4 linked regions of the Diceros bicornis minor genome follow. The protein of the gene in region 4 interacts with the protein of the main gene of each other region in a pairwise test. Links are inferred from orthologs where the notes say so. Each region holds a gene or a part of one and is shown on either strand. Other genes may lie near its edges. The genes, in order: RNF144A, RNF144B, ARIH2 and UBE2L6.

Evidence for each region.
Region 1: the proteins of UBE2L6 (region 4) and RNF144A interact in a two-hybrid assay, tested with the Homo sapiens proteins (2 studies listed by BioGRID and IntAct). The link is inferred for Diceros bicornis minor from reciprocal best matches to the Homo sapiens genes UBE2L6 and RNF144A.
Region 2: the proteins of UBE2L6 (region 4) and RNF144B interact in binary tests that used the Homo sapiens proteins (3 or more experiments, as listed by UniProt). The link is inferred for Diceros bicornis minor from reciprocal best matches to the Homo sapiens genes UBE2L6 and RNF144B.
Region 3: the proteins of UBE2L6 (region 4) and ARIH2 interact in binary tests that used the Homo sapiens proteins (3 or more experiments, as listed by UniProt). The link is inferred for Diceros bicornis minor from reciprocal best matches to the Homo sapiens genes UBE2L6 and ARIH2.

The regions. Positions count from the first base shown.
Region 1 is NC_080751.1:72,669,545-72,677,032, forward strand, and holds the start of RNF144A (E3 ubiquitin-protein ligase RNF144A), read right to left. Parts: upstream 3,009-7,488; 5' UTR 2,796-3,008; intron 1-2,795. UniProt on the Homo sapiens protein: E3 ubiquitin-protein ligase which accepts ubiquitin from E2 ubiquitin-conjugating enzymes UBE2L3 and UBE2L6 in the form of a thioester and then directly transfers the ubiquitin to targeted substrates.
Region 2 is NC_080753.1:49,217,183-49,224,891, forward strand, and holds the start of RNF144B (E3 ubiquitin-protein ligase RNF144B), read right to left. Parts: upstream 3,022-7,709; 5' UTR 2,917-3,021; intron 1-2,916.
Region 3 is NC_080741.1:50,191,499-50,198,869, reverse strand, and holds the start of ARIH2 (E3 ubiquitin-protein ligase ARIH2), read right to left. Parts: upstream 3,019-7,371; 5' UTR 2,930-3,018; intron 1-2,929. Other genes in the region: SLC25A20 (mitochondrial carnitine/acylcarnitine carrier protein), read left to right, coding at 3,742-3,846.
Region 4 is NC_080770.1:16,365,511-16,372,548, reverse strand, and holds the start of UBE2L6 (ubiquitin/ISG15-conjugating enzyme E2 L6), read right to left. Parts: upstream 3,019-7,038; 5' UTR 2,950-3,018; coding exon 2,923-2,949; intron 1-2,922. UniProt on the Homo sapiens protein: Catalyzes the covalent attachment of ubiquitin or ISG15 to other proteins. Functions in the E6/E6-AP-induced ubiquitination of p53/TP53. Promotes ubiquitination and subsequent proteasomal degradation of FLT3.

The sequences.
Region 1 (7,488 bases), on a different chromosome or scaffold from region 4:
GTTCTAAAATATTGATTCTCCTGGAAAAGACCTTTAAATCAACACATTTTTATTTCAGGATCTTGGAAATCACTTAAACCAACACCTTAGTCTTACAGCTGAAGGAACTGGGGGCATGCAAGGAGGTGAAGACCCTTGCCCAAGGTCACACAGCTGGGTCAGAGAGTTGTACAAACTCTGTCCTTCAGCCCTAATTCCCAGCAGGTATGTGAACAGTTGCTTCAATTTAATTTTTCTCTAATTAAGAAAAGGTATTCACGTGTGTCAGTAGTGCAGCAACAAAAGACAGAGGAGGCTGGTTTGGAAATGATTACCTCAACTGACTTTTCTAGTCTTAAAGAAAGGCACCTTCAACTTGGTTCTTGGATCTCCAAGGTAGGAAGGTACCCAGAGTGAATAAAACATTCCATGCTATTCATCGCCTCTTGGCTGTCTCTGATATCCCGCACCCCAGGAATTCAGGGGGAGTCCTTGCTTGGCCAGATTCCCCAAAGAGTCTGAGGGCTCAATACCATCCAGAGTGGCTCCAGACCACCAAACCCCCAAGCTAGCTGGCGTGTCTCCATCCTCCCCAGCTCAAGTGCAGAGAGGAGAACAGCAGACAGTCCCAGGCCGGCCACAGCTCTCTGTGTGGCTGGGGTCCCTGACCTCTCCTCTCCGAGTCTACAGTGTCCTCAAGGTCACAATGAGGGGACTGAGCTAGGAATCTGTGATGACCATCTAGCTCTGTGATTCTCAATCTAGGAGGACAAGTCTCTCCCTGTCTCTACTACCAGAGAGAAAGGATCCCAAGAGGAGGAGAAATTTGAACAAAAGAAGGCGGCGGGGCCAAATTATGAACCACAGTTGAAAAAACAGACGACGTGGCTCCTAGCGTCTGGCCCTGCCGCTGTCTGGCTGAGTGGCACGTTCACCCGCTGGACACCAGCAGCCTCAACTGAACAGTGTGTGTGGTCCCTTCCAAGTCCCAAACCACAGTAAGTCCACAGAGAAGCACCAGAGTCGCCTGTGGGCACCCACATCATTCATTCGCCAGCTGCAGCTCTGCCCCCAGCATTTCAGTTTGCCCTTCATTCCCCTTCCAGGGTACTGACGTTAGAATCAGGGCCTCTTTAAACACATGAACTTTCTGATTCCAACTGTGCTGAATATGGAAATTTTCCATGCCAGTAAAATTAGTTTATTTGTATCCCATTTTTTCATGAGGTCCTCAATCCATGCTTGACCCACTGAAAAGCAGTGCAGGTGGGGGGGGGGCCTGATTCCAAAGCTCACACTCCCCCTTCCCTCAACACTGCCTTAATCACTCTAAAGCAGGGCTCAGTTCACTCACTCTCCTCCTCTGAAACCATCAATGGCTCCCACTGCCACAGGATCAAGACCCAACTTGGCCTGGAATTCAAAGATTTCATGATTTGTCCCCATCTGACCTCTCAAGTCATAATCCCTTTGCACTCTTTAAAAAATAATAAAAACAAAAATTAAAAAGGCACTAGAAAGCTGCAAGAGATCAGGTCCCTATTATTAGTACTGGGGGAGGGAATACAATCACAGGAGCCTTTGGGCTCCAGGCCCATGGGAAAGTCCCCAGCACAGACCTTGAGTTCCCACCCTCCTTCTCTGCTGGGCAGTTCCCTCTGGCCACTGGCTCTTCCTACCACCTTGGACCTGCCCCGCTTCAAGCTTTGACTCAATACTCCTCCTCATAAAGCAGCCCTGCCTCTTCCTCCTGCCTCCCCGTCCTGGGAACTCCCACAGCGCCACAGGCATCTTCTCTGCAGGCTAACCTCTCCCCTGAGGGCAGCCCCTGGCCAGATTCACTGGACCCTGTCCTTACTAGATCCCCAGGCTCCACTCCCAGGAAAGTGCTTCCTTCCCATAACTGTTCAAAGCAGGATGTGGGGTCTCTTTCTAGTACAGGGACCAGATCCCCCTCCCACCAGGGCAGCAGGACCCACTCCGGGATACTCCCCTGGGGCCTTATCTCGCTTTTCTCCCTTACCCTGCCTTCCACGGAGCACAAGGAAAGTACAGGATATTTGTTGAATGGGCTTTTTTTTTTTTTTTTGACTGGAAAAAAGAGAGAGAGAACTTTAGGACTGACCATCCTGAGACCTGCCTATGTAGATCATTACGGTACAAGTAACCCCTTCCTCCGTGATCCTGAGCCTTCAGGTTTCCACAAGTGAAGAGTGCTGGGCGCCCAGGACGGTGCGGGGGAGCTGGGGAGCCTCTGCTGGAGGGTGGATGGGGGAGACCCGCAGGGAACTCCCCCACACGCCCCTCAGTAAAGGAAGGCTTCGAGGGAGGAAGACAGCGGCCGCGGTCATCTGGGCGCCTGGATGTGCAAAGCGCAGGACCCACGGCACCCGGCCCGCTCCGGCCAGACTGACCCGCCCGCCGCCTCCCCACGCCCCGGCCGTTCGCCCTTTCCGAGACGTCGTCGTCCCCGGCCTGCGGGTGGCCCCCCACCCAAAAGAGGCCCCTGTCTGCCACCTCGCCCGCCGGACCGGCGCCCAGAGACGCAGCGCTGCACAAGGGACCCGAGGTTCCCAAGCGGCCGCGGCGCTGTGGCCACCGAGGGGCACGGCAGGGCCACGGTGGAGTCCTCGGCACGAAGCCGGCGGGTCCCCATCCGCGGACCCTGCCAGCCACCCTCGGCCCGCCCCGATCCGAGCGCCAGGGACCCGGCTGGGCCGGCGTGGGGCGAGCCCGAGGCCGGCTCCGCACAGCCACGTCCCTCGGCCGCGCCCCGCGGCCGTCATGCCGACACAAAGGGGACGCGCGTCACCCACCTGGTCCCGCGCGGCCGGGGCCCCGGGGGCCGCCGCTCCTGCTCGGCCGCGGGCGGGGCTGCGCGCGCTCCGCGCGATGTCGGGCGTCCGGTGCCCGCTGTCCGCCGTCCGGTGGCGGTGTCCGCTCTCCGGGGCCGGGTGCCCGCCGCCCGCCGCCCGCCGCCTCGCGCCCGCGTCCAGCCCGGAGCCGCCCTTTATTCCCTGCCCGCCCTCCAGCCGGGGCGCACAGCCCGCGGGGGGAGAGTGGGCGGCGGCGAGCGGCACAAAGACGCGGGGCCCAGGCTCGGCCGAGCGCCCCCGCCCGGCGCGCAGCGCCCCCTGCCGCCCGGCCGTCCGCCCGCGCCCCGCCCTCGCCGCGCAGGCCCGGGGAGGCGCCTGGTCACCCGAGGACCGCGAGAAGCCGACGGCCACTGAGGCGAACCCGAGGTTCCTTGTCCGGCCGCCGGAAGACGGACCCCTGATGCCCACACTCTGCGGGGGGAAAGCAGTAAGCTAGGAAAGAAATAGGTGACCCAATCAAACCCTCTTAGCCAGGTGATAGGAGCATCGGGCTGGGCACCAGTGCCTGGGGTCAGGTCCCGGCTCTGCCACGGACCAGACAAACAGGAGCACGCCACTGGGCTTCCCAGAACCTGAGCTCCGTGCCTTGTCGTATGAGGACGTTGCGATGAAGGCTGAGGGCCTTTCTATACCAGCGTCACGTGAACTGTCTTTCCGTGCCAATACCTGGTTGCTTTGAGGGATGGAAAAGAGGGGGCAACGTGGAGGGTCCCTCAGTTTTGTGGATACCCGAGATCCAGGCATAGCAATTCATTTCCTATTCTTAGGGGTTCTAGCTTTTTAGAGTCAGATCTTTGAAGGCAGAATTCCTATAAGATTTATCTTTGCCGTTCCCTCTACTAGAAGTTCCGCAAGTGTTCAATTCGACTTCTGGCAGGCACGCGTATCTGAACAGAGCTTATCGGTGTCTACGAAAGAATTCCTCCATCAATGCATAGACTCTTTTCTCGAGAATTACGGGAAAACCTGCCATAATATCTTTCTTCCTTAACACCATACCCTCCACACTGTCGGCTCTGACTTCTAATGCTATCACCTACAAGCCCTGAGACCTTAAGTGAGTTACTTAACTTCTTTGTGCTTCAATTTTCATATCTGGAAAAATGCAGGTGGTAACAGTATGTGTATCATAGAGATCCTGGGAGGGATTAAATAAGTCAACTAGTCAACTATGTATAAAGCATTATCATCATAGCTGGCAAATTGTAGGAACTTCGTGGTCCTTAGCTATTATTTGTCTCATTTCCCTGAGACAATTACACTACAAGATTCTTAACTATCTTGACACACTCTGCATAATTTGTCTTCCCCTGCTACATACACATCTTTTTTAAAAATATAAATCTGTCTCATCTACACTGAGAAGTTATTCTGGTAAATATTTCCCCTCCTCAAAGATATGAATGAGCACTTGCCTTCTGATGTCTCTGTCAAATTCTTTGTAGAAATGGCATTATTCAAGAAGAGGGCCCAGTGGGAAGAATCCTAACACTTGGTTACTCCACCCTCTCACTAGAAGATGAAAATGGTTCTGCATAAAGGCCCGAGCTTCATGGAAAATACATCCCTCCTATACTCTGACTGTGGTACCAGGAAAGTACAGGTGTGATACTGCTTATGAATGGATGGTTAAATGAATGATGATGACTGCAGATACACAGGGAGTGGAGGTGATCCCGTGTGCTCTGTGGTGAATCAGTTCACACTGAGATGCAGACATTTCTATGGTAAATGGCATAGAATTCAAGTTGGAGGAGCTGGGAAGGAGCATCTGGAGTGGGCAGGGACGGGGTTGAGGGGCAAAACCAATCTCTTACCCAACTGTGTAATCGAGGCTTGTAACTACTTAGGTAGAGACACGTGTGTGACCTTATTCCCATGTTCGTTTGTCTTGGTTAAAGCAATCATTGTTGGGGAGATGGGGAAAGAGGACATCATCATTGATAATCCAATTTGCAGCAGTCCACACAATGCATCTCAAAGGTGATTTTTCTCTATGAAGTCTTCCCAATGTCACCACTTTCCCTACTCCCGGATCCCTGAACTTGTGTAATATTTAGTTTGTGTCTGTTAGTCATGGCATCTGTCACACTTCATGCTTTGGGTATTTACTGTCTCTTATTAGATCTTAAGATTCTGTAGAACAGTGATGAAGTCATTTTTCTATGCATTCCCCAAAGGGCCTTGAGCATCCTAAGTGCTCAATAAATGGAGTGAAATCACCTACTCTGAGCTCTGCCTCGGGGCAGCCGTCCCAGTTCTCTCCAACAAGCTGCCTGTGGCTCTCAAGGTCATTTCCACTCATCACTGCTTGATTTTCAGTCCAACTCCCTGCACGAGTCATGACTTTGAACCATCTCACTCAGAGGTTTGACATGTCAAGTCCATTTTAAAAGATACCCTTTGTTCCTAAGTGCTTGTGACTCATCCTTCACTCATTGAACAAGCATCTTTTTGATTACCTACTATGGGCAAGATGCTAAACAGACCAGAAAATTAGTGTCTCTGTAAATGGTCCAGAGGCTGAAGAAATGGGATTCCATTCTCTAGTTTCCAGTCTAGACATAAAATTGAGGGGAGCTCAAGATTCACACTCATGGCTCAAAATAAAAGCTTTTTTGACAATGGAGTTTGTACAAATTTGTAATCACACAATCTATAAGCACAGAAAATTCTCAGTTCTTTAATTTTTAAAATTAATTTAAATGTCATTATTTCTAGAGGGTAGCAGGCAATTAAATGTCACCGTTGTTCTGACTGTCTCCCTTGGGACACACAGGAATCTCGGGGATTTCATGGTGCTGGGATGTGGGACATAACCTATCATCCTCAGCCCATCCCTAGGTTCAGTGACAGCCTCCTCCAAGCCCTGCCATCTCTTTCAAGCAGGCTGCACACAGCTTCTCGTCCAGATGCACAGCTCCCCAGGTGGGCCAGGAGGCCTGAGACATTCCCCACCTCCCAGGGCAATGCCAAGTCCCTGCCACTCTCAGAACTTCTTGGGAAAGCTTCCCTTGTCCACATGCCTGCCACCATCCCCTCAAAGGCCTCCTGCCTTTCTTTTCCATCCTAGACATCCCAAATAACTCTTCTGTGGGTGGAGCATCCATGTAAGATGGGAGGCAGAGAGGTTGTCTTCAGGCAGCTCTGCCTTCAGCTCTGCAAACACTACTGGAGCTAGAAAAAATGCAAGACTTGAGCTATTTTCCTAGAACACCAGGAGAAAAGATGCAAAAAAGCCAACCTACATTACTATCGCAATAAAATGTGTGGTCAAAATAACAAACAATAATAGCTTAAGGAAGAAAAACAAAACTTCAAGAAAGAAAGAGAAGTGAAGATTGAAATTCATCCTTGCAGTCACTTGACAACAGTGCCGCCATGGATGAATTGTGTCCCCCAAATTCATATGTTGAAATTCTAACCCCCACCACCTAATGATATGACCTTATGTGGAAATAGGGTCATGGCACATATAATGAGTTCAGATGAAGTCATCCTGGAGTAAAGTGGGCCCTAATCCAATATGACTGGTGTCCTTATACAAGGTCAATTTGAGGACAGACTCACACACAGAGCGGACACCATGTGAACATGAAGGCAGAGATCAAGTGATGCTTCCACAAACCAAGGAATGCCAAAGATTGCCAGCTAACCACCAAAAGCTAAGCGAAGGCCTGGAACAGATTTTCCCTCACAGCCCTCAGAAGGAATCAACTCTGCCAATCCCTTAACCTCAGACTTCTGGCCTCCAGAACCATGGGAGAATGAATTTCTGTTGTTTGAACCACTGAGTCCATGGTATTTTGTTTCTGCAGACCTAGCAAACTAATGCAAGTATCTGGAAGGTGCCCATGCGTGACTACAATTTAGTGAACCAGTGTCATAATAAAAATTAAAATGCCATACAATGGTGGTAAAATAAATGATAGTAAACGAGAAGGTTACTATGTTAATAAAAAAGTAAAAATATTTCTCCTGGCATCCTCCGAGACAGTGGAAACATTTTCTGTCCTGCTCAGCAGCATATCCAGCACAGGAAGGACAAGTTCTAGACACTTAATAAATACTTGTGGAATGAACTAAATGAATCTTGTCGTCCACAACTCTCTGCTATCTAGCTTTCCTATATAGCTCCGAGGCAAATGCTGTAGATTCTGAATAGACCTTTAGACCAGAGAGAAAGTTGAGTCTGATCTTTTCACTTCTAGTATGGAAACACTGAGATTTAAAGTGGCCCTTGACAGTTCCAAGATCACTGCTAGCTAGTGGCATAAATGGTGCTATTACTTGAGGTTCTTAGCTAATTCAGAGTTCTTTTCATGTTTCATTACACTCCCTTTCTATAGTAATCAATAGAATATGGCCCTTGTGGCTGGACGGAATTTTAAAAGGCTTTGGAATGGAATGATTAAATTACATTCAACATCACGTGGACTTAATTGTGGGCAGACAGTTAATGCTCACTAAGTACCCATGTGCTTCTCCCCATGTCCCAGCCCCATGCAGTTAGGTGAGGGCATGTGACTCATTTTTTTCAATGGACTGTGGGCAGGAGGGCCACCTCCGGGCTGAGGCAGACAGAAGGTTACAAGACCTCTACCTTGCCGTCCCCATCACAGTGATCATAGTG
Region 2 (7,709 bases), on a different chromosome or scaffold from region 4:
GATGCCAGTTTAGAATAATTCATGGGTTTTGTAAATGATCTACACTGCCTTTAATGTCACACTTTGAGTTTCACTGGAAATCTAGCTGAGATTTGCAACTTACTTTGCTGCCAATACTACATTATTGAACTCATATATAAATTAATTTCAAATGAGCAAAATTCTCATTACTACAAGAACTGGAAAGAATATAAAATTTAATGTCTACTCTCATAGTTTGGATTAAGGCTATGAGTGTTTCAGTATTCATCTGTAGAAAGAAATAATCAGAGTCTCAATGACTTCTAAAGTGCCTTCCAATTTTAATACTCTATGACTCTATTATTTCCACATAGTTGAATCACTGGGAAATTAACATAACACGAGGAAATAAGGCAATTTGTGATCCAGGCTTCACTAAGGCTACTCTCTTCATGGCTAAAGGGATTTCTTCGAATACTGAGCTAAAAATGTAACCGCATTCTGCAACCAATGCAAACATGTTCTAATTGATGGGAGGGAAAAAAATTCAATCCAGAGTGCCAGCAATTCCTCTGTGAGCTAGCATGGCAGGGAGAGTGTGGGGTCAGCGAAGCATCAAGTTACAAACCAAATTAAAGGTCTGGAAAAGAGTGGCAGGGTCTAATCATCCACTGACTGAGGCAGCCAGAATTGGATATACCACCCTTAGTGGGGGGACTACTTGACAAAGGCTAAGCACACAGACTAAGGGCTTCAAACATCTTTTATTAAAAAGGCCTTCATTCCAAGTAGATCTTTATAGATATATTTCCTTGAAGTTTTTAGTTCTGTCATATTAAAATTTCCATGAAAAAGTAATCAAAACCTAATGCTTACAGTGTTCTGCCACAAAGAAAAATATTGTGGGTTTTTGTTCCTATTAAAAACATGTGTTACATCTATATACATAATTATGTAAGTCCCAGACCCAGTGTACACATATAGACACAAAAACCTTAGGAAAATAATATAATTTGGCCTGAGCCAACAACATTCATAACATAATATTGTACTCTGTCCATAACTCTTCATTAAGGCAATGCTTTGAAAAGGTCAGCAAGAAATGAATATTTCTGCATATTTTGTGGCATAGGCTGCAAACACTAGATCTATAGGGATGAATTAAGGTCACTTTTAAAATTCAAACACAATATTTTCTGGACTTGGTTGGCTGAATCGTGTGCATCTGCACTATTTTTCCTAGGGGAAAGTTAATTTTAGAAAGGAGAAAAAGTTTGCCAGGAAAACAATCACATTGGCTCAATACCTAGACAGTGACTCTTTTCTTAAAAGTTCAAAATGCTTTACAGTCTCCTACTTGTCCTTAATATCCTTGAAAGCAGGTACCAAATATCATCCCTATTTCATAACAAGCATCTATCTCACTTCATAAAAAGTTGTATGAAATAATATTATATCTACTTTACAGTATTTTTAAAAATTAGTCCTTCATCTCAATTTTCCAAAAGACAGACAAATGAAAATCTTTATTTCCCCTGGTGGTTACACTCTGATAGTTTGTTAAGTACTTAGAATGGTTCAGGTACATAGACAGATATATATGAAAAGCAGCAGATGTACATCTAACACAAACTGTGAGATGGAGAAACATTTAGTATTTGTGTAAGTTCAAATACAATATAATTTACACACACTCTTAACCAATTCAGTGTAGAAGAGCTTGGTTCATATAATTAGGAATGTAAACAGGATCTAAGTTAATTTATATGATAATTCCTCCTTCTGGTTCCAAAGTCCATTAGGGTCTTTAGCCTTAAAGAAATCAACATTGTAAAAATGCCAGTGGTCACTAACACAAAGTCAGCCAATGCAAGCATAGGGAAGAAAGATTTTCTGATTCCCACGAGAATAGGCCTCAGTCCTTTCTAATCGCCAGAGTACTTGTGAAGTAAAAATGGACGTTTAAAAGCTAACTCTTTAACAAGGGCTCTTAGATGTACGATGTTTCTCTCCACCCTTTATCTGAGTTTCAAATGAGCGTTAACTCTCTCCCTTCCCAAAACTGCCATCTCAGAACCAATGATACCGCACCAAATTCATCAACTTGAAGGGAACCAGCTTTCACTCCGTTTTTATTCTCTATTGACACTACCATTTCCAGGTGATGCTTACCAACAGTTGGGTACCCTCTCTCCCTCCTATGCGGACCTTACAGATACTTTCAAGTGATTATGAGGGGAGAGTTCATCGCAATCACCTGGAGCGCTTTTCAAATACGCAGAAACACGCACACATCCCAGATTTCTGAATCAGGATCTCAACGCCTGAGTAGAAGCTATTGCTTTAGGCTACGATAAAAAGTTCTAGCACCGTAGTCACCCGAAAAACCTTGTAAACTTATCACAGTATTTAATTTTCAGGAAAAATAAACTCCAAAGAACCTCAAACCTATTGTTGGTGCAGATACAAAAAATAAGACGGTACACCCTACCTTGACCAAGGGTTAATATACAACGTCCCCCACCCACCGCTCCGAAAGTCAGGATAGTAACTGAAGGGAGGGGTATGTTTGAAAGAGTGGTATTTCAGCCTGGAAATCACTGCAGACTCTGGGGGGAAACGGTGCGTCGGTGTTTGCGCCACACACCTGGAGCGAGTGGAAGACCTCCTGCCTCTTCCCCACCCTCTCCCCCAGAGCCCGGGGCACGAGGAATAACGGAGGGGTGGGGGTGGAGGGGAGACCGGGGTCCCGCGGGCCGCAGAGGAGAAGCGAGGATGGCGGAGGTCGGAGTCCCTGCCGGCCGCCCGCCCGGGGCTCAGCCCGGCGCCGAGGGGAGCCGGCGAGGGGGCGAGGGAGGAAGAAGGAGCTGACAGCCTGGGGAGGCCGAACCGCCACCCGGGACGGCGGGCCTGGGCGGTGCTTAGGCAAGGGTGGCACCCCGCGCCCCTCCTTACCTTGCGCGCGGGGTCGCAGTAAGGAGCAGGGAGACCCGGCAGGGGCAGGGCACCGGCGAGGGCGTGCGCCCGCTCGGGGTCCGCCGTCAGCTTCGCCACGCAGCCGTTCAGGTATCAGAGGCATTCGGGTCTCCTAGCTACCAGCCCCTCCGCGCGTCTCGAGCCCCCTCCGGCCCTCGCCCCTGCTGCCTGCCTCCTCATCCCCCTCCGGCGGCCCTCCGCCGCGCTCCCCTTCTCCCCCTGCTGTTTATTCCGGAGAGCGGTGGCCCCTCTCCCAAGCCTTCCCTCCCCTAGCGCGTGCACGCACACACCTCCCCCAGGAACGCACTCTCTGGAGGAAGGAGGCAGCGATCGTGGTCCTTGAAATTCTGGGGCTGGGCGATTTCAGAAAAACCCTTTTAAAAGCTTTGATCTGCCCAATGAGCTTCAAGGTAGGCACTGCTCCCATTCATCCCCTGCCTCCGTCCTCATTTATCTTAACCATAACATCATTTAACACTTGATATTCATGTAGATTGTGTTCTGAGAATCGCCTGCCAGTCATTTTAATTTTTCCAAAACAACTCCTTCTATTTTATTGTTTTAAAAACCCAGACGTCCCCACTGTTTCAACTTAGCTTGCCAGGACGTTAGATCGGTCTCGGGAAGGATATGCTCACTGTACAAGACAGGGCAAGTCTCTTGCCAGCACTGTCGATACCTGCCACCTGTCAGGGCCCGGAGTCAGGGCAAGAGAAGTTAATTACACCTGGCTTTGGTTACTGAGCATGCCCGGAGCCTCCTTTCTCACTTCGGAGAGACGCAGCTCTGAAGCCAAAGTTCTGGGAAGGAGCAGGTGGATGTATTCAGAGAGACTTCTAATGGCGAACGAACTAGCAATGGGCAGACCATACTGAGTAATATAAAAGGTAAGAACGATGCGAAGGGATCCCTGAAAACATCACTGTATCACTAACATGCAGGAGCTGAGAGTCACCTAATCCCTACTGGGAATGTGGAAGATGACTTCTTAAATGGCACTCCATTTATTCATTCGTTTACCTATCAATATAATATACATTTATAGAGTAGGTTAGAAGCAGTGTAGCATTATTCATAATCAATCATGCTATAATTTATAGGATGCTAGGAATTAACTTGAGAAGCAACCAGTTTATTACAGAGCCCTGGTAAATGCAAATACCTGTTAAAGAGACTCCATATTAATCTATTATCTTTTCTAAATTTAGATAACTTTCTAATCTGAGGTCTGGGGAAAAAACGGATGCTTACTAGAATCGTCAGGTTTCCCTACTGGGCAGGAGGTGGGTATCGGAAGATAAACTCATCAAACAAGTTATTGCAACTGAAAGGACCAGCTTAGATGATATAGGAAGGCAGTAGGGGATGGTCAGTACAAAGACTCTGGCCTGCTTATTCATTCCACCGATAATTATTGAATGCTTGCTAGTTCGAGACTCTACTGGGTGCTAGGGATGGAAGAGTTAACAAGAAAGGCAACATCCCCACCCTCACCAAGCTGAAGAGGGGCATAGACAAGTAAACAGGCTGTTAAAAGTAGATGTTCTGATGGAGGATAGCACACACGGAGGGCAGTATATGTGAAGCCCAGAGGAAGTGACTTTTAAACTGAGACCTGAAGAGTGAGTGTAACTTGGCCAGGGAAAGGAGAGTAGGAGGAGAAAGAGTTTTCCTATAGTGGGGATAGCATGGAGAAAAGGCCAAAGGTAAGAAAGAACGTGGCAACTCAAAGAATTTAAAGAAACTCATTATGGCTGGGGGATTTTTTTCTTGGGGGTGGGAGTGGGAGTGGCTGGGAGGAAGAATGGAGAGACAACACTAGAGAGGTAAGCAGAGGCCAGATCATGTAGAGCCTTCTAGGCCATGTTTTCAAAATTGCACTTTATTCTGCAGAAAATGGGGACACTGAAATGTTATAGGCAAGGTAATGATGAGATCAGATTTTTGCTTGAGAAAGATTACTGGCTGCAGGCAGAGAACAAATGAGGCTGGGAGGTGGGGATGAGAGGGAATCAGGGAGAAGGGCTCTAGAAAGAGCACATGATCAGCGATACCAGCGTACAGATCCTCGTGCCTTCGTGGAATCTAAGTTCAGTCCTATGACAAGTCACCAGAGAGACAAAGTTTTCCTGAAGGGGGTATGGAGGGAGGAGAGTCAGTGGTGGTAAACAACTGAGAAACAATAGAGATAAATAGAAATTAGAGACAGAAAATGGTTTGTTTGGGGTTTTTCTTTATGAAATATTTTTTATACAGTAACTCTATCTCATATGGTTCAAGGATAAAAAGAATGTTAATTTGTAACTGAGTAGTGGAATAAATTAAAGGAAAATTTGATGCACAGGAGTCACTTTGATACATATTCCAAATTTTCTACTATGTAAGAGCAAACTAGTGTGCTCGTACCCCAGCTCCCCTCTCCTTTGGAGAGAGCTATTTTATTCCTATTATCTTTCATTCTGACCATCTAATTGTCTTATGACCTGCCTCAATTTGAACCCATCTGTCTGAAGTCAAAGTTCATGCCACTGCTACTAGGCCATGCTCTCTAGATTGAATACAATCACTAAGCTCTGTTCTTCCCTTATCCTAATTCACTTTCATCCCAATTCACATCTCCATTCTCTCAAGTCGAAATTCCCAGGGAGGGGACTACTGGCCTTACTTGGGTCAGATGCCCAGTCAAGGAGGACAGGGTGTCAGGGTCATGACCTAAAAACATGCCTACATAAGTTCTTCATGTAACTATATGGACAGTGGCTAGCATAGGATTGAGGATGAGGATGGAAGGGTACTTGAGGAGATTGGGAGGAGGCCAGCTCTTCAGAAAGAGGCAGACAACTTGATGTTTACTACAAAGGTAGACTGTAAATAAGTAATCAGAATATAATTTCATAAATACTATAATAAAGATATGAACAAAGTACTAAGGGAACACAGTGCAGGGGAGAGAGGAAGGAGTCGCAACTTCAGAGACCTGTGGAACGCTTCATGGAGAAGACAATGTTTTGAGTCTTAAAAGATTAATCTATGTTTGCCGAACACACTAGCTAGTCTGTAGGACCTGCAAGATTATTCCTGGTCTGGTGGACTAGTTTTTCCTTAAGGAAGGGAAAGGATAAGGCGTCAGGGAGAGACCAGTAAGGAGACTTCTATAACAGTTAAGGAGAGGGCTGATAAGGCCTGAAAGAAAAGGAGATGTGTATGAGACATTCAGAGGTTTTGAATCCAGAGGACTTGATGGGGGAGTTGCGAAGAAGGAGAGGCCAAAGATGAATTGAAACATTCAAGCTTGAGCAACAAGGTAGACAATAAAGCGATTAAATGAATCAGTAAAAAGAGAGATTTGCTAAAGAATGGGTTTAGCTTTTAAGATATTGAATTTCAGATATTGATGGGATATTAAGTGAAGAAATCTAATAGGCAATTGATAAGAGTATGACGCTCAAAGAGAAAGTTGCTAAATGTATTGATTTGGATTTTATTAATCTAGAGGTCATTGATACTATAGGTGTGGATGAGATCACTCAGGAAATCACGTGCAAAGAAAGAACCAAGGGCCTAGGCGGATCCCTGAAAAACACCAACATTTGAGAGGCCAACAGATGCAAGACAGCCAACAAAGGAGGAGAACCAAGAGAAAGCGATGTCATGCAAGTCAAAAGAAAAAGGTTTTGCAAGAAGGGGATGCTAAACAGTGTCAAACGCTGCATAGAAACTAAGTAATATTACAAGAGTATTCAAAAGAAGCCTTTCGATTGCCTATATGGAGATCATTGTTGGTCTTTATGAGAGCAGTTTTAGTGGATTGCTAGAAAAAGAAAGTACACTGCTTTAGATTAGAGTTTCTCAATCTCAGCACTTCTGATGTGTTCATCCAGATAATTCTTTGTTTGGGGGCTGTCCCGTGCATTATAGGATGTTTAAGCAGCATCCTAGGCTTCTATCCACTAGATGCCAGTAGCACCTCCCCCAAGTTGTGAAAACCAAAAATGTCTACAGACATTATCAAATGTCCCCTGTGAACATAATACCCCCTCCCCGACTTGAGAACCACTGCATTAAATTGAGATGTAAATGGGAGAGAGACAAAACAAATGTATTTTTCCAAAAAAAATTACTAGGAGACAGCATCACCTTTAAAAAATCTTTTTCTTATCCTAATTTGCAAACATCTGTTTACTCTAAATTTAACTTTTTAAATCCAAGCTGCCTATGGGACAGATACCCACCCAAACCTAGTTCCCTTAAATGAAGAATAAGCGCTAAAAAGAAATATTTTATTTATAAAAGTCTAGATTCAAAATAAGATTTATAGAAATATTTTAAGGTTAGACATATCTATTTTCTAAGATAACACTACAATCTTGTGACACTGTTGAGGATTTCCTGCCAACTTGCAGTGGAAAACACTTTTCTGCGTCTGATGTTATGATTCCACCAACAGCGATGGCATTAAATATAATCTAAGCACTGAATGTCAGTCCTATAAGAGGAAAAGCCCCCTTCAACAGAAATGATCTCCTTATTTTAACAGCGAATAAGAGAAATAATACCAAAGCTCTACGCTTCTCTATTTCTTTGATCTTATTCCATGGAACAGTTGAGAAGGATATATTAATGAAATGTGTTACAAATAGTACTTGCTAAAGTTGGAGCAAAATTAGATTCTAGGGCCAAAATTTGGTAACCACTTATCCTTTGTTATCCAACTTGTCTAAGTCTCACACCATTTCCCTCACCTTCTTCTACCACTTACTTTGAATAGTCTT
Region 3 (7,371 bases), on a different chromosome or scaffold from region 4:
ACTGCCCCTGAACCACTTGTATTTTATTCTGATGCAATGAGGAGCTGAGGAGGATTTTTGGCCAGGCAATGACATAGTCAGATAAAATTTAGGTAAATTTTCTTGCTATGTGTAAGGCTGATAAAATGAGGAGGCAGGAAGACCATTTGTTTAGTGGATTATTGGTTACCCTATGAGGTTATTTAATAGAACCTAGTGGGCTTGAGTAGAGTCCACATTGACATCTGTCATGGAGGTGCCCAGATCTTCCTGAAACACCATCTCTTCCTGAAGCTGTTCTGAGTGCAGATTGACTCTAAATTAGCTCCTCTTCTGCAGCCAGAGCATTATAAGCCATAAATGAGAGAAACAAGGTCCCATTACCAAACCCTGAAACTTGGACCTTCTGTCCAATAAAACTGCTAAGGTCAATCCAGCAATGAATACAGAGTTCTGCAAATCGGAGGTACTCAGTAAACATGTGGCCTGGATACTAACACAGTCTTGCCCTCTCATGGTGGAAATTCCCCATAATCTGTGGGAAACAAAGATGATAATGTAGGAAGTCAGGAGGACACCTCAGGCCTCCTTGAGAGCTGACAACCCACTTTGTACCTGAGCTCTCTCCTAACAGCCCTTTCTTGTTCCAATGTCTGAGATTCTTCTCCTCAGCTGTACTAAAGCCCTTTGAACCCACTTTCTAACTCACTCAACAATCATCTTTTTAAGCACCTACTGTGTGTTAGGCGTTACGCAACCTTACTTTACATTTTGTGAGCTGTCTCCTCACCTAGCTTGAACACTCTTCCTTCTATCTTGGAGGTTTTTTTTTTTTTTAATAATTTTATTTATTTATTTATTTCCCCCCCCAAAGCCCCAGTAGATAGTTGTATGTCATAGCTGCACATCCTTCTAGTTGCTGTATGTGGGATGCGGCCTCAGCATGGCTGGAGAGGTGCGTCGGTGCACGCCCGGGATCTGAACCTGGGCCGCCAGCAGCGGAGCGTGCGCACTTAACCGCTAAGCCACGGGGCCGGCCCTATCTTGGAGGTTCTTAACAATGGATGCTTCTCAAACTCAGCCACAGAGCTTTAAACACTCTTGTGCCAGAACTCAATTTCAGAGATTCAGAATCAGAGCCCTGGAAATTTCAGGGCATTTAGAAGAAGCTTGTCAGATGATGCCACACACACCAGATACCACTCCCAGCACCTCAAGGACCTTGTCTTATCAGCTGCACTTTCTCCTTTCTAGATATTTCTTTCAGCCTCAGTCTCATCTTAAACACTGAAATCTAAACCCTTTAACCCATTGCTCCTTTCTTTTCCCTGCCAAGCTCCTTGAACCAGTAATTGACTCTCAGTGCCTCTGCCTTCTTGCTGCCTGTTCAGTATTCAATCCACCACTGTCAACACTATGGGAAAACTTCTTCTAAATGTCACCAATGACTAATAGTTAAACCTAATGAGGGGGCCAGCCTGGTGGCATATAGTTAAGCTTGTGTGCTCCACTTCGGCGGCTTGGGGTTCGCTGGTTCAGATCCTGGACGTGAACCTACACACCACTCATTAAGCCATGCTGTGGCAGCATCCCACATACAAAAAATAGAGGAAGACTGGCACAGATGTTAGCTCAGGGTGAATCTTCCTTGTACAAAAACAAAACAAAACAACCAAAAAAAACCTAAGGAGCATTTAAAATTCCCTAGCTTACCCAGCATTTGACTGTTTCATCCCTTGGACTCAAAGGCACTATTCTCTGTTTTCTTCTAAAACTCTAACAGCAACTTCTGCTTTGGGAGCTCTTCCTTCCATGCCAGCCCCTCTTCCCATAGTACAGTCTTCCAGGGGTCATATATACATCTTTATGCTGAAAACTTCCTGGCTTCTGTCCCTGGCTTTCACCTCTCTCCAGGTTCCCAAGTTGTATACCCGACACTGACCAGGTATGTCCCCCGATGTGCCATGGGCACTGCAATTGCAGTGTGTCTGAAACCCAGAGCTGCTGCAGGTTTTCTGGTAATGCCTCTGGGTTCTATCCCCTTTTCCATCCTTCTATGATCCCTGCTTCAGTTCATGCCTTCACCGCCTCTTGCCTGGACCACTGTAATTCTCTCTTAACTGGTCTCCCTGCTTCCAGTCTATCTCGACACAAAATCATTCATGCAAAATAGATTTCCTAAAACAAATCTGATCATGTCACCACTGTGCTTAAAATTCTTCCATGGTTCCCCATCACCTCCTAGAAAAAGCCTATAGCACAGAGTAGATAGGCTTTTGGGTCTTGTCCCAGCCTCCTTGCCCTCCACTCCCCTACAGGTTTTCTGGACCAGCCAGACCCAGTCACTTCCTGATCCCAGTCCTGATCCTGTTACTCATCTTTCCACCCCCAGCACACATGGTCCATATTCCCCTTTCCTAGCTTCCCTCTAGCCTGGGAGTGCCCACAGAGAAAGACTGTTATCAGGTCAGCTTGGCAGTGAGGTACCTGCTACAGCTTTTTAACCTGAAAAATTTCAAACATACAGAAATGATGAAAGAATAATATAGTGAATACTTGGATACTGTCCACCTAGAGTCAATAAGGTAAAAATATTAGCATCATCCTTAACTCCTCTCTCACATACCTTAAATTCTATTCATTAACAATTCCTTTAGATTCTTTCTTCAGAATATATCTAGAATCTGAACACTTCTCACCACCTCCTTTGCTATGCCCTGATTCCTGCCAGCATCTCTGACCATGACCTTTAGCCTTGTCAAGGCTCCCTGCTTCTTCCTTGCTCCCTACAGTCTATTCCTACCCAGCAGTCAGAGGGATCTTGGCAATTCATAAGTCAGACTATGTCACTCCCCTGCTCTAAATCCCAAAATGGCTCCTGTCTCCTTCAGAGGAGAAGCTGATGTCCCCACAATGGCACACAAAACCCAGTTTGATATGCCACCATTACCTCCATGTCTTCACCAGCTACTCCTCCTCCTCTCCTTCACTCTGTTCACAAAGGCCTCCCTGTGGTTCCTCAAACAGGCAGGGCACAGCACATCTCCGGGCTTTTGCGTTTTCTTTTCCTCTGCCTGGAAGGTCCCTCACCCTCCACCCCATATGGACAGGATATGGGGTGGAGGGTGAGGGACCTTCTATGGCAGTCTATAGACAGAACTCTCTCACCGTCTCAGGTCTTGAATCCCTTACTCACCTAATTAAAATTGCAAATTACTCGACCCCTCATACTCTCTAACCCTATTTCCGGGTTTATTTTTCTCCATAGCAGTTATCACCACTTGATACACTACACATTTTTCACTTATCTTTGTTATGGTCTTTGTCATTGTTAAGCTCCACAAGGACAAGGCCCCGTGTGCTGTGCTACTAGCTCTAGAAGGGCGCCTGGCACACAGCAGAGCGCAATCGACTTCTGCGGAGTGAGTGGAGCAATGGGAGCCCAGAGGAGGAAACACTCAAATCCAGGACGACTTCCTGGAAGAGCGAGGCCACCTGCCGGCCCTTCCAAACAACTCGCAGACAGTGTCACGGCCGGCCCCTCTCCCTCAAGCCACGCCCATGAGGGCGGGTCCTCCGCCGGAAGCAGCTGCCCATGGCGGAAGCCGGGCCAGGCAGTCTAGGCCCTCCTCCCGACCTGCCCTGGGCTCATGTCCCGCCCACATGAAAGTGGGTGAAAGGTCGGCGGCGCCGGCGCTGCGTCTGGGGCGGTAGAGCGGGGCGGCCTGGGAACCGACAGGCACGTTGACGGACGGACGAGCCATGGTAGACCCGGCGAAGCCCATCAGCCCGCTCAAGAACCTACTGGCCGGCGGCTTTGGCGGCATGTGCCTGGTGTTCGTAGGACACCCGCTGGACACAGTCAAGGTGCGAGGGGGCTGGGGCGTGGGCTGGAGGGAGGAGGCCCGGGCGAGGCGCGGAAAGCAGGGTCTGCGTCGAGACGTGGGCTCGGACAGAAGGGGGCCGGTCGGAGCTTCCCAGAAAAATCTAGCGAATCTCCCTTTCGCCCCTTTCGGGGGTCGGAGGAAGCTGTTCCTCGCGTCCCAAAGAGCCGGACCGCGCAAAGTGAGCGGCTTCTAACCGCTCAAAAGTTCTCTGTCCGGCAGCCTCTCCTGGCCTTGCACCACTTCTTTGGGGGTGGGAAAGAAAAAGTGCCTCCCCAAAGCTCTGATTTCAGCAAACCTTAACAGTATCAGCAAGATTGAAACAGGTCACCTGTAAAGCCCGCCTCAGGAAGAAAGCTCAAGACAGAGGCTGGATTATTCTAGAGATGTCTTTTGACACATTCCTCTGTTGCCAGAGTGCCTTGTCACCATCTCTTCGCTCCTTTCCCGCCCCAGAGGGGAGCTTGGCCATCTTTAGCCTGTCACCTCACATTACCCTGAGTGGCCTCCTGTGGGAAGCAATGATGTCCTCAGAGACTGAGCCCCTTCCAAGGAGAGCAAGTGACCAACTTTGCCCAGGGCCAGGCTGATCCTCACAACTCCCAGGTGAGGAAGCCATGGTCACACTGAGGCTCTAGAAAGGAGGAAACTCATTAGGGCTTGTTCCCTGGTCTTCCTCACATCAGGCCTCGACTCTTTCCACTGCAACACTTTCAGCACTGTCTTGTTGGAGACCAAAGTCCATGCCCTGTGACTTAGCATTCAAACCTTCATCCAAGTTTTCTAACCTTATTTCTGGACACACACTTGGAGGAAATTGACAGATCATGGCTAGGGTGGGCCTGTGGGGAATAGACATGAGTCTTATAGAGCGGGAAACCTGTGTAGAGGGCTTATTAGAATGTCAGATGGGGTTTCCTCCACAGGGAAATAGCTTTAGGGACACTTACTCTTGACAGGTTTGGGCAGCAAGCTCTTTGCTACCTTTAACCTAGGAGAAGAGCCAGGGTCATTCTATGCCAAGACCAGGATTAAAGCAACCGGACTGGTTGGGGCACTGTGAAACAAATCAGATGTTTATTCAGCTGATGGTAAATGTGTGTGTTAGTGCTTCTCAGACAGTGGTCATTCTAAGCAGCACTGTCTAGTAAGGGAGAAGAATTGTCTTGTCTCTCTTCTTGCTCTTGATCCATGTAGGCAGAGAGCTTGTTAGTTCCAAGCATCTGAGGCCTCTCTAAAGAAAAAACTTTTAAACCCTTGTTTGCTGCCTTATACAAATGTTGCTTCTAACTCTGTATCCTCTTGCCCTTCCTCCCTATGAGATGTCACTCCTAGGGAGGCCCAATGGCCTCTGTACTGAAGTGTAAATGACTGGAAATGCTCACTGGCATTTTCAACAGCCAGAAAGCCTCTTTTTAGCTTAAACCAAAACCACGAATTGCTGACTGCTGTCCTTTTGACCTCAGAGAGCCAGATGGACTCCAATCAAAGCCTGGACTAGAGGTGCTTTCGGAGATCCAAGGTGACTAGCTGTGGTCTGAGAAAGCAAGAGCTGTGGCACTTCTGAGTGGGAGCCTGGAAAGGCTCTATGGCAGGTGGCGAAGGGCTGGCTGAGTTCTGACTGGAGAAGTAGGGAGACCAGGAGTGGAGAGGGCAGGAGTGAAGGAAGATATAGGCTTGGTAGTGGGAGTCTCGGTGGGAGACCACACAAGATAAGACCAGCCATGGAGGACTTTAATGTTCTTGCTGGCCTGGATGGCTGATGTGATGATGAGACAAGTTTGAGATTTATACAAAATCACAAAAAAGATATCAGTCAGAAGTTTTGCTCCATTTCTCTCTCCCTACTAACTGAGGGAGGTTGTACCTGACCATTGAGGATCTGAAGGCCAGTATAAGGGATTTTGGATGTAAAGCGGTGGGAGGCTCTGGACATTTCTACTGTTGTGTCCTATAAACTCCTCAGACTTGCACGTTACCTCCATTGCCTAGAGAGTGATTCATTTCCTTAGCGTGGCATGTAAGGCCCTAACAAATACAAGAATGAGAGATTCTAAAGAAGTAAAGGAACAGCAGGGTGAAAATGGTGTTTTAGAGAGGTTAGTATGATAGCAACCTGAGAAAGATTTGGAAGCCGAACTCTGAGCAGGAAAAGCAGCCAGGAAAAAGACTGCAAAAGTAACTGAGTGTATCAGTTATCTATTGCAGTGTAACAACTTACTCCAAAACTTAGTTCTTAAAACAACAACATTCATTAACTCTCCCAGTCTTTGTGAGGCAGAATTTTGGGAGCAGCTTAGGTGGGTAGTCTGGCTCAGGGTTTCTTGTGAGGTTGCAGATGTTGGCTGGGATCCAGAATATGTAAAGAACTCTTACAACTCAATAATAAAGACAATAATCCAATTAAGAAATGAGCAAAGGACTTAAATAGACATTTCTGCAAAGAAGATATACAAATGGCCAATAAACACATGAAAAAATGTTCAACATCACTAATCATTAGGCAAATGGAAATAAAAACTACAATGAGATACCACCTCATACCCATTAGGATAGCTATTATCAATAAAACAGAAAATAACCAGTGTTCTCAAGGATGTGGAGACATTGGAACCCTTGTGCACTGTGGTTGGGACTGTAAAATTGTACAGCCACTGTGGAAAACAGTATGGTGGTTTCTCAAAAAATTAAAAATAGAATCACCATATGATCCAGCAGTTCCACTTCTGGGTAAATGACCAGAAGAATTGAAAGCAGGGTCTCGAAGAGATGCTTATACACCCATCTTCATAGCAGCATTATTCGCAGTAGCTAAAAATATGGAAGCAACCCAAGTGTCCACCAGTGGATGAATGGATAAGCAAAATGTGGTATATACATACAATGGAATATTATTCAGCCTTAAAAAGAAGGAAATTTTGACACTTGCTACAACATGTATGGATCTTGAAAACATTATGCTAAGTGAAATAAGTCACAAAAAGACAAATACTGTATGATCCCACTTATATGAGATACTTAGAGTAGTCAAAATCGTAGAGACGATAAGTAGAATGGTGGTTGCCAGAGGCTGGATGTAGGTGGGAATGGAGAGTTATTGTTTAATGGGTATACGGTTTCAGATTTACAAGATGAAAAGAATTATGAGGATGGTTGATGGTCATGGTTGCAAAACAATGTGAATATATTTAATATCACTGTACTCTTAAAAATGGTTAAGATGGTAAATTTTATGTGTATTTTAACACAATAAAAAAAATTGAGAAGGAAAAAAATAGGCAAAGGATCTGAATAGACATTTCTCCAAAGATGATATGCAAATGGCCAATAAGCACATGAAAAATGTTTGACATTATTATCCATCATGGACATGCAAATCAAAATCACAATGAGATACCACCTCACACCCAGTATGATGGCTACAATCAAAAAGACAGATAATAACAAATGTTGGCAAGAATGTGGAGAAATTAGAATCCTCATACACTGCTGGTGGGAATGTAAAATG
Region 4 (7,038 bases):
GAGTAAATTCTCTTAGGAGCCTTTTCTCCTGAAACTGAGGTACTTAACCTCCATCCTCTTGTCCTCACCCGAGGAGTCACAAGTTCCTAATTCCCTCTCTCCCTTCCTTCCGTAGCCTCCGCTGAGTATCCAGCATGACATGTCCTTACAGTGCTCAAAGCAGTGTGGGCAGCAAAGACATCACCCCATCCCTGTCAATCTCCTCCAGACCAGGGCTGGGGCAGGGAAATGACTCAGGCAGCCCATGGCAGAGGAGAACTCCGCAGAGAAACAAGGGGACAAGGAGTGACTCGCCTTCCCAGAAATGTGGCCCAGTCACCTGGACATCACTGAATTCTCCCGACAGCCCTTTCCTGAGTATCCTCTGTTGACACTTGACTAAGACAGGGCCCAACTCTCCAGAACTTCATTGGAGTAATGGAAGCAACATGAATGTGATTATGTGAATAATGTGGGGATACATAACAGGGAAGGAGAGGAGAGGGGAGCAGGAAGGCTTTGCAGAGGGTGACACTGTGAGCTGAGCCATGCAGAATAAATAGGAGCCCATGGTGCAGAGAAGGGAAGAGGTACCAAGGCATAGGCCCAGTTAGAGCAAATGTGTACAGTGTGTCCCATGCAAGATTAATAATTATTACAGAAAAAGGGTTCCACAGTCAAGTACATCGGGAAACACTAAGCTAAACGGATTTCTTTACTGCAGGACTTCACAAAGCCTTTAGTATACTGTTGTGTATCATGAACCTCCAAGATGTGAGCCCACAGCATGCAGTACTTCTCAAATGTATTTGACCAAGGAACCCCTCTCCCCCTTTTGGGGTCCATCCTGTGGGGCAACAGACCATTTTTTTTGGAAAAGACCAATAACAGATAAAAAGACACTCAAGGGCAGGTCATATTCCTCTGGAACACCAGATGAGTGTAAACCAGTGGTTCTCAATCAGGGGTTATTTTACCCCCACTCTCAGGGCATTTGGCAATATCTAGAACCATTTTGGGTTGTAACAAATGGGGGAAGTGCTACTAGTCTCTGGTAGGTAGAGGCCAGAGAGGCTGACAAACATCCTACAAAAAATTATCTGGCCCAAAACGTCAATAGTGACAAGGTTGAGAAACCCTAGTGCAAACAAAGGCAGAGAGAGAGCTCCAGCCCACAGCTGGAGAGGAGTCCTTTAACACTGTGTCCTGTCTGACCTTTATCTGCCCCCCAACATAGAAACACATGCCTGTCCCCCATTTCCTATCCCTCAGCCCATACTCCATCTCTGTTCATACAACAAACTGCTTCTTGCACCTTCTGCCCAGAGTGTCTGACCTCTCATTTACCTTTTACCCCACACTAGAAGTATCTGCTACCATAAGTCATAGTTCTAGCATCATCTGTGACTCTTTGGCAAGAAGGAAGCCCCAGGTTGAACAGAGAGGCTCTGGAATGCACATTTTCCCGACTTCACTATAACTAGGAACACTTGGACTTTATCTGTTATGGATGAGTTCTGCCAAAACTTTCCCCAAGCCTGATGATGTTGAAACCCGAGCTAGGGGACACGGCTCTTTCCTGTGGCCTGTTAGGAAATCATCTGACTCAAGAGAACAGAAAACGAAAGTACAGAGCTCACTGAAAGAAACTGCAGATGGGAGCCCCATCCACCTGGGCTCAAATCCCAGCCCCATCACTCCCAACTGGGTGACCCTGGACAAGCAAGTTATTCTCTCTGAGCCTCCACTTCCTCATCTGTAAAATGGGCATACATGACTTATCTCACAGAGTTGCTGAGAGAATTCGATGAAATAACTAATGTAAATTGCCTGGCACTTAATGGTGCCAATGCAACAAATACTGGCTCCCAGCTCCTTCCCACTTGGCTGGAAAGACTCTCTGCCCCATTTTGCTGCCAACCTTCAGATTTCAGTTCTTCTGAGCTGAGCCTGCTCTGGGTGCCCCAATCCGAGATCATGTTCTTCTCAGAGGCTGAGCGTAGCAGGCCCTCCTTCACCCCCTTCAGGCCTGCCCCCAACTCCGTACATTGAAGGGGCACTGCTGAGAGACTCAAAGCCTGGGAGGTGTCAGACCCACTTCACCAGGATTGTCCTCCCTTCCCGGTCTATCTTCATCTCCTGGCTGCACCGCAGCCCTCCAAACACCCTGGGTTTTCCCCGCTCTTGGGGGAAATCGCCCCCTCCCCATCCTTCCAGACCTCATTTCAAATTGTGTCCCTGATTGGAATGAACTCACCGAGGGCAGGATTTTTGTTCGTCTCTGCCTCCCTAAATCCTAGAACAGGAGCCAGCACACAGTAGGCATTCGACAACATTTGCAGAACGAATGAATGCATGCCACCTACTCCAGGACAGCTCCAGGACCGCCTTGGCATCTCTTCCTACCGAGAATACCCAGGGAATCTTGCTCCCGACTCCTACTCAGTATCCCATACTTCTCGGGACGCTGATGTGGGTACCAAATCATGGGGCGGGGCGTGCGCTACTCCAGGGCAAGGACCTTTTCCTGGTTATTTCAGTTCACAACCCACCCACCACTACCCCCAGCAGAGCGCCTGGCTCCAAGAAGACGCCAAGGAACCCTTCCCGCACCTGAGACGCACGCAATTGTTACCACAAGTTTCTGGCAGGAGAAATGAAACTGAAACCAGTTTGGGGGGAGCTGGCTCATCCCCATTCCCAGCACAGCTCAGGGCGCCAGCGACACCCTCGCCTGATGTGTCCTCACCCCTCAAAACTCCAGCTCCGGCGCCTCTCGCAGACCCACTCCTCTGGGGAGGGGGCGGGGATGACAGAGATTCAGCCAGCCCTGGTACCAGATAAACGCGCTCAGAGAGCGGAGAGCCGGGGGAGGGATGGAGGGAGGAGGGAATGGGAGAGCGAGGGGAGCCAAGAGAAAGGGGGCATCCTACATGCAGTTACCTTCGCCACCCGCTTGCTCGCTGACATCTCGGGACCGAATGTGGGGCTTCGCGGACTTGAGCCAGACTGTGCCCCGACCGGCGGACTCGGCGCGCCCCGCCCGGGGGACCCCGCCCCCGAGAGCCCCGCCCACGCCCCGCTCCCCCAGCGCGTACGCGGGAGCCGGACAGTCCTGCCCCCCACCGCCTCTGCTGGGACTAGGGGCCGCCGAGGGGAGGATCCGCCTGCGCCCCGGCCTGGGCCCCGGCGCGGTGGGCTCCGATCCCCGGAACTTGCGCTCTTTGTCGGGAGCCGCCGCGGGCCCGGGAGCGCGCGGCGGTGCCAGATCCCTGCGTCCCGCTGGGGGGCGCCGCGCACCAGGCAGCAAGCGCTCGCGGCGCGGGGCCGGGGTCCGCCCATCCGGGTTCTAGTTCCAGCTCCGCCGCCGGAGGCCCCCCCATCTCCATCAGCTTTCCCACAGCGCCCCAAATATACACTCTCCCTAAATAAATAAAAAACTCTTGGTATGCAAATACAGCTCCATCAGACCGCCGCCCTAAGCCCCCTCAACGAATTCCTGGAGCCCCCTGGACAAATCACTTTCCCTCTCTGGGCCCAGTGCTCCATCTCTAAAAATGGATGGGGGCCACGGTAGACTATCTCCCCTCCAAGGACCCCTCCCCTGGCAGCTTGGGATCCTTTGTGCTGTCCAGCATTCGGTGGTGAGACTGCAAGGACCTTTCTCCCAGGTGGCTGCTTGGTGCAGAGCCCCGCAAGGGGGCGCTGTTGGGCCCAGTCTCTCTTGCTTTGAGGATTCGGTCGACCCTTCATTTAGTCCCTGGTTAAGCTTAGCATTTAGTAAGTGCCTACTATATGACGATTTGGGAAACAGTTGAGTGGGGGAGCTTCCCTTATTTTACCACTGGGCCATTACAAACTGCAGGTCTACTGTGTGCCCCGCACACATAGGCAGGAATTTCCACCCCTCTCTCCAGGGACAGAGACCCCTTCCGCCAGCCCAAAGCTGAGGCCACCGTGGAATTGCAGCTCCTGAACACGGAGCAGCGTCTGGGGAAGAATCTGCTAGTAAAAATGAGTCTCCTTGGGAGGATTGAAGCCATCTTCCTCACCCTACTCCTTTCAGTCCAAATGAGAAGAGAAACCAGCGTATTTTGAGCACGTTTTGAGTTCTGAACTCACTACTTCATGTAGTTTTTATCTAAGTGTCTTGGAGCCAAATGACTTCTCAGCTCAGATGTGGGATGTATTTGCAGAATGATTAATTCTGTTTAATTCAATCCTATAAACTTTATCCGGGCATCTTCTACATGCCAGAAATGAATAAGCCACTGTCCCCAATCCCATAACATAGGTAGAGATGAGGGAATGAGGCATCTGAACCATCTCAGTTAACCAGCATCTACTACTGAGTGCCAGACACTGACTTTAGGGAACACTGCGATGAGAAAGTGGGGTCCCTGCCCTTGATGAGCTCTCCTACTGGTGGGACAGAGGGAAAGAATGCAGCCCTTGCGTTTTTAATGCAAAGCAGTAAGCACAAGCCTATCAGGAATCATTTGGTGCTCTGGGAGCCTGAGGAGGGTCAACTTGATCCTGCCTCAGAGAGGGACAGAGGTTTCCTGGAAGAGATAAAAATCTAAGTGAGTTGCAAAGCATGATAAGGGGAGCAACCCCGTGGCCTAGTGGTTAAGTTTGGTGCACTCTACTTCGGTGGCCCGGGTTCACAAGTTCAGATCCTGGGTGTGGACCTACACCACTCGTCAGCTGTGCTGTGGCGGTGACCTATATATAAAATAGAAGAAGACTGGCACAGATGTTAGCTCAGGTTGAATCTCCCTCAAGCAAAAAGAGGAAGATTGGTGTTCAACATCATTAATCAGCAGGGAAATGCAAATCAAAACAACACTAAGATATCACCTCATGTCCATTAGAATGGCTATAATCACCAAGACAAAAAACAACAAATGTTGGAGAGGATGTGGAGAAACAGGAACCCTCATACACAGCTGGTAGGAGTGCAAACTGGTGCAGCCTCTATGGAAAACGGTATGGAAATTCCTCAAAGAATTAAAAATAGAGATGCCCTATGATCCAGCTATCCCACTACTGGGTATCTATCCAACGAAGCTGAAATCAATAATCCAAAGAGGCTTATGCACCCCTATGTTCATTGCAGCATTCTTCACTATAGCCAAGAAGTGGAAGCAACCTAAGTGTCCCTCAACTGACGATTGGATCAAGAAGATGTGGTATATATATACAACGGAATACTACTCAGCCATAAAAAAAGACAAAATCGTCTCATTTGCAACAACGTGGACGGGCCTGGAGGGTATTATGTTAAGTGAAGGAAGCCAGAAAGAGAAAGACAAACACTGTATGATCTCACTCATGTGTGGAATATAAACCAACACATGGACAGAGAAAACTGTATTGTGGTTACCAGGTGCAATGGGGGTGGGGGGTGGGCACAAGGGGTGAAGGGAGACATGTATATGGTGAAGGACAAACAAAAATGTACAACCCAAAATTTCACAATGTTAAAAACTATTAAAACATGAAAAAAAAAAAAAAGAGGAAGATTGGCAATGGATGTTAGCTCAGGGCTAATCTTCCTCACAAAAAGAAAAAGAAAAAAAAAAGAATATGGGGTGAGGGTGTTCCAAGAAGAGGGAACAGCATGAGCAAAAGTGAGGTGGCAGTGTATACAGAAACTGAAAGTGGTTCTACAGTGTGGAGCAAAGCCTGTCCACTGCTCTGTGGTTCTCCTTCCTTTCCCTTCGGAAACTCTGCATCCCTGAAGTGAATCCAGAGTCCTGGATTTAGCCCAGCTTCCCCATCCTGGGATGGATCCTAAACTCTCACACAGCTGGGAGGCCTGCATGCGCGGTCTCCATGTCCTTCCACAATGCAGACCTTTGTGTGTCAGAAGGAGACCCGGATTCTAGTTCCACATCTGCCCCCCAGTGCAGCATGGCCTTGGGTGGGACGTAGAAGCTTCTACCTGCTTCCCAGGACCCCTGTGAGGCTAAGCTCACAGAAGTGGAGGAACTTTGAAATCTATAAATCCAAGAAATAAATACTCAGGATTAAATCCCAGTTCCACTATTATTGGCTGAATAAACTTGGGCAAATTACTTAACTTGTCTGTGCTTCTGTTTTGTCATCTGTAAAATGGGGCTAATAATAGTGGATGTGAGGAGTAATGAATTGCTATTTGCACAATAAGTGATAGTTATAATAATAATAAATACTAAAATGATGGCAGGTGCCCGTCCAGGATCGAATGTGCTGGCTTGGAGGGAGAGATTACTGAGTTTGCTCCCTTAGAGCAATGGCAACACTATCTTCCTCAATAGAGCTCTTTAATTCTCTCTGATCTAGTCATTGGTGTTTATTCATCCATTCCAAAAATGTACTGAGCGCTTACTTATGCAAGACCCTGTGTTGAGCACTCTGGGGGCCCCGGGAAGGGCTGAGGCCAACTCTGTGTCTTTACCATTAAGTAGGAGAGATATTCATCTGTAAGTATAACAAAAGATTGGAGGAGAGAGGCCTCTAAGTTACTTATATGTGGAATCTAAAAAAAAAAAAACCCAAAAAACAAAAAAAATAACGAACTCATAGATACAGAAAACAGATTGGTTGTTGCCAGAGGCAGGGGATGAGGAGTAGGTGAAATGAGTGAAGGGGGTCAAAAAGTACAAACTTCCAGTTAAAAAATAAATGAGTCCTGGGGGTATAATGAACCACATGGTGACTATAGTTAATAATACTGTATTGGATGTTTGAAAGTTGCTAAGAGAGTAGATTTTAAATGTTCTCCTTATAAGAAAAAAAAATTGTAACAACATATGGTGACAGATGTTAACTAGACTTACGGTGATGAGCATTTTGCAATATATACAAATATCAAATAATTATGTTGTACACCTGAAACTAATATAATGTTGTATGTCAACTATATCTCAATTAAAATGTTTTTAAAAAATTAAAAGATGATATACCAAAAATAAGAGGCCTCAAGGCTTGACTTACTGTCTGTTTATTGTGAGCATAAAATGAGATTGTGTACATGAGGGGCACCTTGTAGGTACTAAAGTTACCTCACCTGTT